Linked DNA regions of Astyanax mexicanus. The protein of the gene in region 2 purifies or fractionates together with the protein of the main gene of each other region. This does not show direct contact. Links are inferred from orthologs where the notes say so. Each region holds a gene or a part of one and is shown on either strand. Other genes may lie near its edges. The genes, in order: cdkn2aipnl and xrn2.

What was found.
Region 1: the proteins of xrn2 (region 2) and cdkn2aipnl purify together in Homo sapiens (co-immunoprecipitation; 6 studies listed by BioGRID and IntAct, with this or other methods). This does not show direct contact. The link is inferred for Astyanax mexicanus from reciprocal best matches to the Homo sapiens genes XRN2 and CDKN2AIPNL.

Annotation. Positions count from the first base shown.
Region 1 is NC_064424.1:48,052,965-48,059,478, forward strand, and holds cdkn2aipnl (CDKN2AIP N-terminal-like protein), read right to left. Parts: upstream 2,339-6,514; 5' UTR 2,185-2,338; coding exon 1,988-2,184; intron 1,122-1,987; coding exon 1,013-1,121; intron 746-1,012; coding exon 740-745; 3' UTR 556-739; downstream 1-555.
Region 2 is NC_064408.1:83,918,314-83,925,839, forward strand, and holds the start of xrn2 (5'-3' exoribonuclease 2), read right to left. Parts: upstream 3,239-7,526; 5' UTR 3,088-3,238; coding exon 3,013-3,087; intron 798-3,012; coding exon 670-797; intron 586-669; coding exon 474-585; intron 1-473. UniProt on the Homo sapiens protein: Possesses 5'->3' exoribonuclease activity. May promote the termination of transcription by RNA polymerase II.

The DNA.
Region 1 (6,514 bases), on a different chromosome or scaffold from region 2:
AAGTTATTGCTAACAGACTTTGTAGTATTGTTGCAGTAAATGTAGACTTTCAGATGGTTTACATTCATAAAATATAATTTTCTTTACCTTTGTTTTAAGGAAAGGAAACTGCTGGCAAAAATATTGAGATATTGTATAAGGAAATAAATCTATTTATAGTTGGAGAATTTCACCAACAGCAGTTCTGTTCTACAATCTAAACAATACCACCATGTTCTGGTTTGGCTGGATTAGATATAATATTCCAATCACTTCGCTTGTGTCTCATTCGACATTCAGCACTCACCTTCATTTGTATGTGGCTGCAAATAAAAAGTGAAATGTGCATTAATAAATATACTCTGTCCTATACAGAATGATACAGCTCAGTTTTCAGATAAAGTGTGGGTTATATTGTGACTGTGTTTTCATGAAAAAATATGTAATGAAGTTAGTTTTTGTGAATTTATCCTATAAAAACATTTATACTGTATGCTGTATAAGCAAAATAAACTTTTCTTTTCCAGATTTTTTGTCTTTATGGTTGTGTGTAAAAAAAAAAAAAACACCCAAGCATTAGTTAAACATATTTATTTAAATGAAGTTTAAAAACAGTTAAAAAAACAATTTAAAATTCATAGTTTCAGATAAAAAAAAGAAACAGCAAAACAATGTTTAAAACTTTTACATGATAAAAGTTGTCATTCAGTTGAGCAGCTCGTCATCAGGAGACTCCAAACATCAGATCAGTGTTTCTGTTTCACCGCTGGAGAAAGAAAGAATCAGAACAGTAAAGTACTTCTGCAAGACTGTGAGTGAGTGAGTGTGTGTGTGAGTGAGTGTGTGTGTGTGTGTGTGTGTGTGTGAGTGTGTGAGTGTGTGAGTGAGTGAGTGAGTGAGTGAGTGAGTGAGTGAGTGAGTGAGTGAGTGAGTGTGTGAATGAGTGAGTGAGTGTGTGAGTGAGTGAGTGAGTGTGAGTGAGTGTGAGTGAGTGTGTGTGCGCGTGCGCGCGTAAGATTCCTGCAGAACCTACCTTTTGCTGGTTTTTGACGATTTCATCTCGAGTTTTAAATACAGGAGCATCTTCAACTACGATTCCTTCTGCCATCTCCTTCACTTTATTCAGCAGCTCCTCACTGTATCTAAAATAATAAACACAAATTTACAGTTAAATAAAACTGAAGGAGGAATAAACAGTCGTATGAGAGTGAGGGATCTGAGAGAACAAACAAATGAGAGGAAAAATAAGAAAATAAAATCAGGAAGAGAACTTATTCATTAGGAACAATTATATGGACTAATTAAGGAACAAATTATTTTTATGGAGATTATTACTAAAAAGAACTACCAATAATTAGCTACTGCCAGATGGAAATGAGGTCCGTTCCCCTTTGGATTCCTAACTGAATCAACATTAGGAGTTCAGAGGAGTGATGTGTAGATTACTGTGCTTCAAGTCAGTTAAAAAAATCTAAATAAAAAAAATCTTTGAAAACTCTTTCAAAATTTTAACATTTAACATTTACATTAACATTTCACCTTTAAATACCACATTAACAAGCAGATTGATGTACAAACTTAGTTTTCTATACAGAAATAAAATGTGTTTCTCTACGAACACAAGAATAAAGCTAGCTGAGGCAGTGTTGGTGTCTCTAAGTATATATTGATATTAAATACAGACATACTTCCAGAACCGAGCTGAAACCTCTGGACTCAGTTTTAAGGTTTCTTTTGATATTATTGATTTATACTGTTTTATATTTATTTACTTTGTTATTGTATTAACTGTGCTCTGGTCTATCATCTATTAATATATTCAGTATAGCAGAGGTATTGTTGTGGTGATTCAGGCTGTGTTTGCTGTGTTCTGTGCTGCAGGTTTGAGTACAGGTGGGTTGATGGTCTCTGCAGGTAAAAGTTGATGGAGATCATTAATCATTAATAACCTGGAGCTGCTCTAAACCCTGTTACACTAAAGGACTAAAGGGAAAAGCCCGGATCTCACCTGCAGCCCAGGAACACGTGGTTCGCCCAGACCATAGAGAGCGCGAGCAGGTGATCCAGGTGAGGATCTTCATAATCGTTAATATTCCGGAAGATGAAATCTCTCCGCGGCCTCCAGTGCTTCTCGCTCTCAGACACCGTCCGGTAGCTCTCTACCTGATCCACCAGGTGTCTGTTCATCTCTACAAACTGCTCCATCACCCCGCGCGCCCCGCTCACCTGCACAACACCGCGCGCAGCCAAAAAACAAACCCAGCTTCCGCTCACAACTAAACACTCACGTGCTCGCTTACTGCCCCCTACCGTCCCGGCGGCTCCCTGCACCAACCCGTTCACTGTCGTTACTACCACCCATTTACCACTCACTACCATTCAGTCCTATTCACTACAGTTCACTACCACTCACTCACACTCACTCACTACCATTCAGTCCTATTCACTACAGTTCACTACCACTCACTCACACTCACTACCATACACTAGCACCAATAACTACTCACTACCATTCATTACCACTCATTCCCACTTACTAACATTCACTACCATCCACTCCTGCTCACTACCGTTCAGTACTATTCACTACAGTTTACTACCACTCACTCACTACCATCCACTACCACTCACTACAATTCACTACCATACACTACCTCTCACACTCCCTACCCTTCATTACCACTCAATACCATTCACTACCATCCACTCCCACTCACTACCATCCACTACCACTTACTACCATTCACTACCCCTCACTACCATACACTACTATTTACTACCACTCACACCCCCTACCATTCACAACCACTCACTCACTCTCACTACAATTCACGACCATCCACTCCCACTCACTACCATTCAGTACTATTTACTACAGTTAACTACCACTCATTACCATTCACTACCTCTCACTACCACCTACTACCACTCAACACTGGTGTTGGTGTTAATATTGGTGATGGAGTTAATGTTGGTGATGGTGTTAATGTTGGAGTTGGTGATACTATAAGTGTTGGTGCTGGTGTTAGTATTTAAGCCTTAAGTTGGTGATGGTGTTGGTGTATTGGCTGATGGGTTAGTGATAGTGATGGTGGTGTTAGTAACTGTCCCAGGAACAGCAGATCAGTGCGGTGTGTTGGCTGATGGGTTAAGGTTAGTGATGGTGTTAGTGATGGTCTTATTAGTGATAGTGATGGTGTTGGTGATTTAATGGTGATAGTGATAGTAACTGTCCCGGGAACAGCAGATCAGGGCGGTGTGTTGGCCGATGGCTCCCCCTGTCGGTCTCACTGTAAAACGGACGGTTTGCTGGATGATGAACCGCCCCGTTTACAGATATGAGAAACTGCTGGCGTTCTTGATGTTTATCAGCTGTTAAACTGAGTTACCGGTAAGTAAAGAGTATTTATATGATGTTCCGTAGTGTTTAATGATCTGAAGCAGAGCTCGCGCTCTCCGGAGTCGCGCGGATCACGGGCTTATTTTTGGTACGTCATTAATATGGCGCCAAAAGAGTTTAGAGTGCGGGTTTATGTGTGCTGCGGGTCTGAGAGAGAGAGAGAGAGAGAGAGACAGACAGAGAGACAGACAGACAGACAGACAGACAGGGAAAGAGAGATAGACAGGGAAAGACACAGAAAAAAAAGACAGGGAGAGAGAGACAGGCTGTGGGGTAAGGTGTGTAAACTAGCCCGTTAGCTGTAGCTGTCTCTCTCTCTTAGGAAGTAACTCGGGGTTAGGGGAACTAAAATGCCTCTAAATCTCGTTAACTCGCAGTAACACTTTACTCTCAGGTCCGCGGAGCTGCTGTAACGGTGTTTAACGCGCCGTGCGGTTACAGCTGTAGGTCAGACCCCGCTCTCCGCAGGTAAACCCGGGGGGGAGTTAGCCGGTTAGCCCCGCGGCGGAGCGCGGGCTGCGGGGAGGGGTGCGAGTGCAGCCCGGGCTGTGGAGCCGCAGCTTCGGCTTAAATCTCTATGAGAAAGCGCGCTGCGCGGGCGGCCATCGCGTTTCTACTGAATCCCGTGATAATCGGACGGAGGTACTTGTTTCTTTGAAGCTCTCGCTAACTAACACACTTTTCACCCCGGGGGATATTCAGGGGCGCGGGGAGCGAACACGCACCGCAGCGCAGCGCTGAGTGTAGCCCCGCAGCGTTGAGAGTAGCCCCGCTAGCTGCGAGCGGTTCGCCTCCAATGGTCTCCTGATCCGCCCCCGGTCCCGGCGCTGCCCGCAGGCGAGGACCGCCAGCCCAAACACGGTAAGCAAGCGAGCTAAACGGTGCCCTAACGGGGCTGGGTAGTGAGCTCTAGCAGCCCCTCGTGCCCGCGGTAAAGAGCCGCGCGGGGATCAGGAGCGGACCGCCTGCATATGGCGGGTTGTTTACATGTTAAGGAAGCGGATGCGCAGATTTTCAGCAGATCGTGTTTTTTGTTTGTATCTAAACTTTAACCAATATCTGCTGTAAATAGTCCGTATAAGTTACAGATATAAATCCCCGGAAGTTTGGAAAGTTTGAGTAGAACCGAGTGTTTGGCTGGTTGGTGAAGTTAGCTCGGTTCTGCAGGGTGAAGCTCTGGCCCAGCCTGTATCACAGTTATCACTGCTACTTTACCGGCATTAATATGGTGATGATGATGATGATGATAATAATAATAATAATACTTTATTTTTATATAGCGCTTTTCTAAAACCCAAAGACGCTTGACGATGATGATGATGATGATGATGATTGTGATGATGATGATGATTGTGATGCAGGTGTATTTTAATTGCACTATACTGTAGTGAAAACTCGCAGGTAACTGATGTTAAATATTATCTCTCCTGCTTCTCCTGCTTAAGTTCGGTCTGTAGGGGGCGTGGCCTTTGCTTACAGTCCAAGCTGCTTCTCGCTGTGCGATAAGTGGGCGTTGTCGCGCGAGGTGCGCATGGCAAGGTGGAGGAACATCCTCCTAAATCAGGCAGGGGGCGGGGCATGGGCGTTGCAGGGGGCGGAGTTTCTGCTCTAACGAACCTACTAAACTTTGGGATCCATTGAAGAACAGAACTGCAGGAATCCAGCCTCTTGTCCATGTCCTAAATAATAAACAGATCGAGCCTGAAACTCTGGATGTGTTTTAGTAAATATGGATCCCACTAACTATTGGTTCTCACCATCTTCTGGGTTTTTTTTTTTTTGCTCCTGTTGGTCCTGCAGGATCCCCATTCCCTGCACATTTAGTGTTCTTCTTGCTTCTAGTACACGTGATCCAGCTAATTAAACATGTCATAGTTATCTAAAATGCCCTCTGCCTGGGAAAACTGATCAGTAGAGACATCACTCCCATCCTCTTCAGCAACCGGGTGAGATGATTCGCTGCTGGTGCTGTGAGGTGGTTAGAAATTTCCACATTATCATTAAATCAGTTCAAATAAAATCAGTTTAAATATGATTTGATCATGGTGTGAGCAGGCTCTACAGGGATGTTAGCCTGTAGAAGTGCAATGAAACCCTCCATATATGTCCAGTGTGACACAGGCAGGCTGTGTTTATGCAAAGCCTAGCAGGCAGGTGGCTTGTGATTGGTGGAGAAGGGGGCAAGGCTCTCACATGGTTAGTGGTATCCTGTTAGAGCTGCTCTCACATGAGGGAGTGTTGTGAATGAGACCCCCCCCCCCCCCTCACACACACACACACACACACACACACACACACACACACACACACACACTGAGACTGATGGGAGAAGGTCTGGAGGATCTAGAAGCCAGAAGATGAGCTTGTGATTGTGCTGTGTGTAGAGTTCAGCATGTGTTTATTTATGTCACTCAATTAGAAAAATGGTTCCTCCTGTCAAGATCTCAAAAATCCGCCTGGAAAAGCTTAGCTTATTATTATTATTATTATTTTATTTATTATTATTTTATAGAGTAACAATATATATTTTTGTTATTCTTGGTGATATTACAAAAATAAAAAATATATATTTTTATGTGTGAACATGACAGTTTTAAGCATTTAATATAAACTAAAAATCTGTAAAAAGTCTAAATTGTATACAACAAGAACTTATGAAGACATTCATTTTGTATAAAATAATTATAATAGCTCAAATATTATGTATAATTTAATATAAAAATAGTGAAAAAACATTTGAAGTTGTGACCATTAAACCTTGTTTTCTGTTTGTTGAAACATAAAGACATCTGTAGTGACTCCCACTGTATTACTGCTGCTTTTGGCTCTGGGTTCTTGCTGTATACAGTGTTCTCCCTTCAGGCTATTATAACCTGTTATACATTTTTATAATTCATGCTTTATACTAACTTTATATATCTGCTGTACTGTGGAGAGCAGTGGCAGAGAATCGGCTTAAACATTACTTTACTCACTTTGTTAAACAAAACATGACACATTTTCACAGGTATAAATGTATGTAATTTGTCTTTAAAATAATGAACAGTTGTGCTGGCCAGACTGACCCAAATCTTTTACTGAAGAACATCTTTACAGATTAGTACACATGCTGTGGATGATTGCTGTAGGATTTAA
Region 2 (7,526 bases):
AGCTAGCTAGCTAGCTAGCTGGCTGGCTGGCTGGCTGGCTAAGCAACTAATACAGCTAACCACACACAACAAGTGCTGTAGAAGTACAGCAGCAGCCATCAAAAAGCTGACTAAGGGAATCCTGTTTATAATGTTTTAGTGCTGGATACGCAGCAATTTTTTGTTCTTTACCTTTTGAGCTCCACGGTGCAATTCTATACAGGTAATCACAGACTATCTCAGTTTTACATTATTGTTATATAATAAGCATCATCAATAGGCAGTTTCCTTAAAAACTGCTTATAACTGGTTTTATAGCACACAAATTCTCTGTTCCAAAAGTGCCCCAAAACAGCTTTAATCTTTTTTTTTTTTTTTTTTTTTTAACTTTGTGCTATTTTATTATTTATGGTACAGTGAGATGATGTTAGCCTGGAGCCCTGCTGCTACTTGTCAAAACTGAAAATAACATTTAAAAATCAGACCATACTTACAACTCCATCGATTGCCATGTAAAGAACTCTCCTCGGCCGAACGATGTTAAAAAGCCGATCAATGTACTCAAAAATGGCAACCATCATTTCATCTTCATTTTTCGGTGCCGGCCTGAAAAGTAAAGCAAACATTGTCTGGAAAAAATACTGACCATCTTTTTTTACATTTATCTTCCAAGCTAATTCAGATACTTACTTGTCTTCAGGATGTGTACAAGGATGGATGATTCCATTCATGTCCAAATAGAGGTTGTCAAACTCCACCTCATTTGGGTTGGGTTTACTGGTGTCAACTGGTATTTGAACTCCATTGCATTCCTTAGACTAAAAAAAGAAAGAAAAACAATGGACACAGTTACTTCCAAGTAAAACAAAAGAATGTATGCTACACTGTATACATCGGCATAGGGCATTGAATTAAAAAAAATAATTAAAAAAATGTGCCATGAGTCTAATGTGGTGGTTTTACTAACTGTTTGGTCAGTTCATTGTTTTAACTATGTATAATAATAAAAAAAATGTCTTTCATTATGCTATTTTATTATGTAATTTAATGGTCGTTAAATAATATTGTTTATCAAAATTTTTGGTACTATATATGGTCCACTTGGTGCAGCTTGGTATGATCCCTGGTGTACTATAGGTTAGTTAGCTTCTTTTGCAAAGGGGTGTTAAAATGGGGGCCAAATTCCAGCACGCCGTTAAGTAACTAGTTAGTCAATTCCCCTGCTCTTACAGGCCTACTAAACATGACTGTTAACAGGTGAATGGAATCAAGTGTGCTTGAGTAGGAAACACACGTGCAGTTTACTTGTTACTTGCTACAATTTAGGTGCAAATTATGGCAAATAACAGGAAAAAGTGCACTGGCAAACTAGACAAAAAACAAGCTCATAAGTGATTTGTATTTAAGTGGTTTTGGTCAGAAACTACAGAGCCCCTAAGGTGACGTAATGCAGATGTTCTAAATCTCTCGGAAGTTGCAGGAATCTACTGTATATAAATAATTGCTCCCTGATCCTTGCAAGTCAGATTAAATCTCCCAGAATCTAAAATGAGTGTCCCAGGAGTGAATGCAAATGTGCAAGCAGCCGACCAAGACTTTTTTTCCCCACAAACTGAGAGGAAATTGTGTTTTGCAGCTTGGGATGTCTACTTTATATATTATAATAATAAAAATAATAAATGTATGATCACAACTTAAGTCGTGGGAACAAGATAATTAAGTTGTGGGAATGACTTACATGGCCAGGATTTAATTATTTCGTTAACACGTTATGGTCACACACTAGGATCTCATTTCTGCACCCTCATTTTTAATGTCTATTGCTGTTACCTTAGGGGCTTAGTAGAAACACACACCGGAGAAATGCTTTTATTTCTGTTCACTTGTGTTTTCCTCTTTATTTACAATTGTGTGTTACATCACTTCTGCATTTATATGTGGCTAAACTAGAGACTCCTGTAGGTTAATAGTTTTTAATTGGAGAGTTTTTGACAAGACCCCAATTTAGAAAATCAGATTTTACAACTCTGAAATACGAGGTTTCGCTGGATCTCATTTCAGCGCCTTAAAAAGTCATGGCTAGGGGTCATATCTTATTGTGTGCAATAATACCTGCAACATTTTTTAATTTTATGAATTAAATCACCAACCACTAATTATCACATCAGGGTACTACTTTTTTAGCAAAAAAAAAAAAAAAAAAAACACAGCACACTGTTCTCATTTCCCATGATATATTTACTACAGACAGATAATATTATTTACTTTACTTCAGTCCTGGATATATGGAGATATCTGGAGTCCATTATTAATATGAGACTGGATCATTAACTTAATTTAGAAATCTGATAAAATACTAGTATATTTTTTTATCTCTCAGTTAGGGATGTGCCATATCATATCGTATCCAATAATAAAATATATATATTTATTTTGTTGCAGTAACGTTAGTGTTTAGTTTAGTCATATCGCCATGAATATCGTTTTTTGCAAAAAAATACCATAAAATATCGTGATATTATTTTAGGGGCATATTGCACACCCCTATTGCCACGCGTTTTTTCTATATATTTTTTTAACGCTAACGTTAGTTAACTAGCGCCTAGTGAATAACTAGCTAGCTAAACATAGGTAACATAACATTTCCAGCATAACATAAAGGCAGAGTTAGCTAGTTTAGCTTAGCTTAGCTCTGGTTAGCTGTGAACAGTTGCTGTTTGAACGTAGACATTAACGTTTTAGCTAGTTAGCTTAGCAGTATCCTCAGTTAGCTAACGCTTGATTATTTAATTAACCGCTGTGTATCAAAAGACTCCGTTGTCTCAGAGACCGTTAACAACACCACTCAGCCCGTTAGCTCCAGAGTTATGTTAAAACCTGGTTTATTAAACTGCCTACAGACTCTAACCTACATATATTTCCCCCTAGTGTTCTGTTAGCTAACTAAAAAGTGCGTGTTATTCTCCACAGGGCATTTCTCCTCAGCAGCGTTAGCCTATTGCTAGCGCTAGCTGTAGCATTAGCTTAGCTTACCTTCTCCTCCAAACAGTTCACAATTATAGACGCATATTTCCGACTCAGCCAGCGGAAAAACGCCGGCACTCCCATCTTCTCTTTAAAACCACGAGTTTAAACTGACCGTGTTTTTAAAATAATATATCTGTGTGAAACTTAAAAACAGCTCGGGATGAGTGGGAGCCTGTAGCGCAGCGGAGCAGCGTGCTTTTAACCAGCTAAAGAGCTACAGCTCAAACACAGGCCGGGTTTATTCCGGTTCAAGAGCAGCAGCGGCGGAGCAGAGCAGATCAGCGCGCCCCCCACAGTCTCAAACACACAGCTACATCCACTCATTCATCAACCTGACCAGATCACACCAGATAGTTAATTATAGCGGGAGTCCTGCCTTTCTCAAAAACATCACACACTTAAAAAAAAAAATAATAAGCACACCATGCTGACCAGCTTAGATCATGACCAGTGTTGATCAGACTAAGCTAGACAATTTGTATAAGTAAGCTTGACCAGGCATGAGCAATGAACATTAAATGTGTTACATACATGTTTTGGTGGATTACAGCTTTATATGTTTATAATAGACAACCAACCATTATTAAACATTGTCTCATAGTAGGGCAAACTCCAGCAAGCTTAAGTAACTAGTTAACTAATTCCCCTGCTCTAACTGGCCTACTAAATATGACAGTTAACAGTTGAATGGAATCAAGTGTGCTTAAGCAGGAAAAGCACTTGCAGTTTGCTTGTTACTTAATGTAGAGTCAAAATATGGCAAATAACAGGAACTGCATTGGCAAACTAGATGAAGAAACACAAATTTATGCAGCTTTTAAATCCAACGCTTTGGAGATTGTAAGTATGATGTGATTTGTATTCGAGTGGTTTTGGTCAGAAACTACAGAGCCCCTAGGAACCCATGATGTAAAAAGAAAAATAATATTATAATGTGTGGTCACAATTATTAAGTTGTGGGAACTACTTATATGGCCAGTATTTAAGCATTTTATTCCCACGCCTTAATAACTCATCCCAACAAATGTATTATCTCATTTCCAAAATTCCAAATTGATCTCGCCTAACCTGGCCACGCATTAGGATCTTGTTTCCGCAGCTTAAAAAGTCATGGCCACACATTAGGATTCTTGTTCCCACACTGTAATAAATTGTGGCCACACATTATATTGTTTCTTTATTTTTATTTTTTTGATTATGCTGTTACCTTAGAGGCTCTGTAGAAACACCACGAACCCCCCGGTGAAATACTTTTTATTCCTATTCACTTCTGTTTTTCTCTCTATTTACAATTAGGTAATGCATTATTGCTGCAATTATATGTGGCTTAAAAAGCTAGACAACCTGTGTGAGTAAGCTTGAACAAGCATTATATATTCTTCAAATAAATTAGCGATTCTCGATTATAATAAAGACTTAGTTTGTACCATTTAAAGTGATGTGCAAGCTATTGTTTAACAAATAGTAAGCAGCCCCCTTCAGCCTTACATGAAGCTCTTATGAAAATAAGAAAATAAATACAAAGAGTATAAGGGTATAAGTATAAAAATACTAAAAATATATAATATAAGTTGTATTAAATATAAGTTTGATACAAAAACCTATATAAAACCATAACATTGTATCAGTGCATTAGAGAAAATTTTAAGTTTATTTAATCACTTTTTGCTATCTGGGTATGCTGGTCAAGAGCTTACAAGCTCTTTTTCTGACCAGCTAAGGCCATCTTGAATATTGAAGACCATCCAAATCCAACTACTTTCAAAAGCTGGTCTTAAACTTACATAGGTACCCTAATGCTGAATTTAATAGTTGCTGCTATTTTTGTTGCAGCTCAAAATTACAAGTGGTTAGGATCAGAGAATCATTTAAACTGGAGGTTGATGAGACGAACCTTAAATATTGATACGAAACAAAATAACAGATTCTGCTCACACTTACAAAGACTACTTTTTCTTCATGCCCCAAGCAGGGGGAAGAATCTTTCCAGCATTCAGGTTTACCCATTTTTGTGCACTGACTAAATCCTGTACTACATTTCTACATTTTACTAAATCTGTTTTAAAATGTACACTTACCTGCACTATGCCTTCCTCTTGTAAATATTAAATGTTTTCAAACTGGAATCACTTTATTATTTTGTTGTTGTGGAAGGGATATCACTTAAAATTGTGTCACTCTCCTCATTTCACAGTTAACCCAATTAGACAGTGAGACAGTTCATGTGCAGGTCAGCGTCATGGTCATGCAGTGAGCATGGGGCTAATGTGCTTTAATTGCATTTCTAGTAGTGAGCTGATGCTTCATTAACAGGCATGGGATTATATATGAGGTTCTTGGTATAAGACTCATTTCTATGCAGAGGCTTTGATGTGGTTGATGCATATGCAGAGACTAGTCCTTATCTTCTTTCTCTCCTCATAAGTGAACAGTGTGCGCTCTCTTCATGTTACTTCCACGAACCCATGTTCATTAATGCATCCTTTTGTACACATATTTTAAAGTACCACACACACAGTTTGTCTAATTAGACGATGAATTAAACCAAATTCCTAAAGCACATTAAAACCATAGTTCAATGGAGAGTCTAAATTATCATCCCCTTCCCCTCGTACTATGTCACAGTGTTGTAGCATATTTGCTTGTGTGATTTCTAAAATAAGGACCATTTAAAAGGTTTTTAGACATGATAACAGCACGTATGCTATTTGTGTATGCTGTGTATAATTCTGTTGTTTAACAATGTATCTCAGAGCCCTACTGGTTGGACAAAATTAATGCTTGTACTTCTTGTATTTAATGTTCTTTTACTACAGTACCCAAGGTACAGAGCCCGGGAGGGGCCGTGGATAAAAAAAATAATTAAATCGAGTGAACGATATAGCAGTTCTGTACCCAAGATGCACCACACAAATGCATGATAATCTCCCACAATAGTGACTAACATAGCCATAGCATTCTGTAGTCCTACGCCCATATTTGGAGTTCCGTGTCTAGGCTTAATTGCGCAATGAGCAGAATGAATGGGGTCTATCACAATCTGTGATTAATAAATATGTTCATAACCATATATGTTTTATTCTGCGTACAGTTTTCTTCTGATTATCACTGGATTTTCTGAACTACGAGATTGTTTAAGAGTCGTAATAAGAATTTGCTACAGTTAAGCTAATGCAACAGTAATTGGTAGCTTTTTTCATTTTCTATAGGGTTCTGAGCATATTTATTTATTTATGTGATTGAGGTGATAAAAAAAATTCTCCCCATTGGAAAATTTAGCTTACACACGGAACACCAAATGTGGGCATAAACAACATGGTGCCCACTACAAAATGACATATGTCTATTAGTGCTGCTATTTATTTAAACGTTCCCCCACCTTCAAGATAAATTGCAGCTCCACTGTGGGACATAAGTATGCATGTTTACGTCAGAATAAGGGATGGCTATGGTTTTCATTTCGGCCAAAGTGCCACTTTAAGTATATGATGGGATCTGTCAGGGCAAATAGACTAAAAAAATCATGTTAATCATAACGTGTTTTACAATTACAGTCTTCACACAAACTGAAAGCGTCCACTAGCCATTTGAAGGCACTCCTATTACCTTCAATAGTAGAGATGATCTGTTTCAAGAAAACTGTCTCAAAACATGGGTTAAATATGATGAAGTGAAGGAGGTATATCAATACAAAAGAACATTTTAAAAAGAACAGTGAGCGCATAGGTTGTTAACAATGTGAACATTGTATGTACACTGAAAAAAATCATGTGTTGGATTTACTTAAAAAAATCAAGGCAACGTTTTGCACCAATTTTTTTAAGTAAATTCAACTTGATGAATTTTTAAGTAAGTTCAACTAAAAATATTTTGTTACACCAACTCATTTGTATTAGACTCATACAACTTAATATCAAGTCAGTCCAACTCAAAGAAATCAAGCTCAATTTACATATTCACCTATAAATATTAAGTCAGTCTAACTCAATGAAATCAAGCTTAATTTATATATTCACCTTTAAATATTAAGTCAGTCTAACTCAATGAAATCAAGTTTAATTTACATATTCACCTTTAAATATTAAGTCAGTCTAACTCAATGAAATCAAGTTTAATTTACATATTCACCTTTAAATATTAAGTCAGTCTAACTCAATGAAATCAAGTTTAATTTACATATTCACCTTTAAATATTAAGTTAGTCTAACTCAATTAAATCAAGCTCAATTTACATATTCACCTTAACAAATTATAAATGTACAAATTGACTTATACAAAATGTATTACTTGAATTTATTTTTATTAATACATTTCTTACTCATACATTAACAATGCATGAAGTTGAGGTACAGTATTTTTAAATTCCTAAAATATTTAAGAATTGAAACCAAAAACTCAGTTTCTCAGTCCAACATACAGATTCAGATTAAGTGCAAAATGAACAAAACATGCAACAGACTCCTTAAAGAGGCCTTGAGACCTGCTGTATAGTTTTAAATGAACAAAAGCTTGCCAGTTTT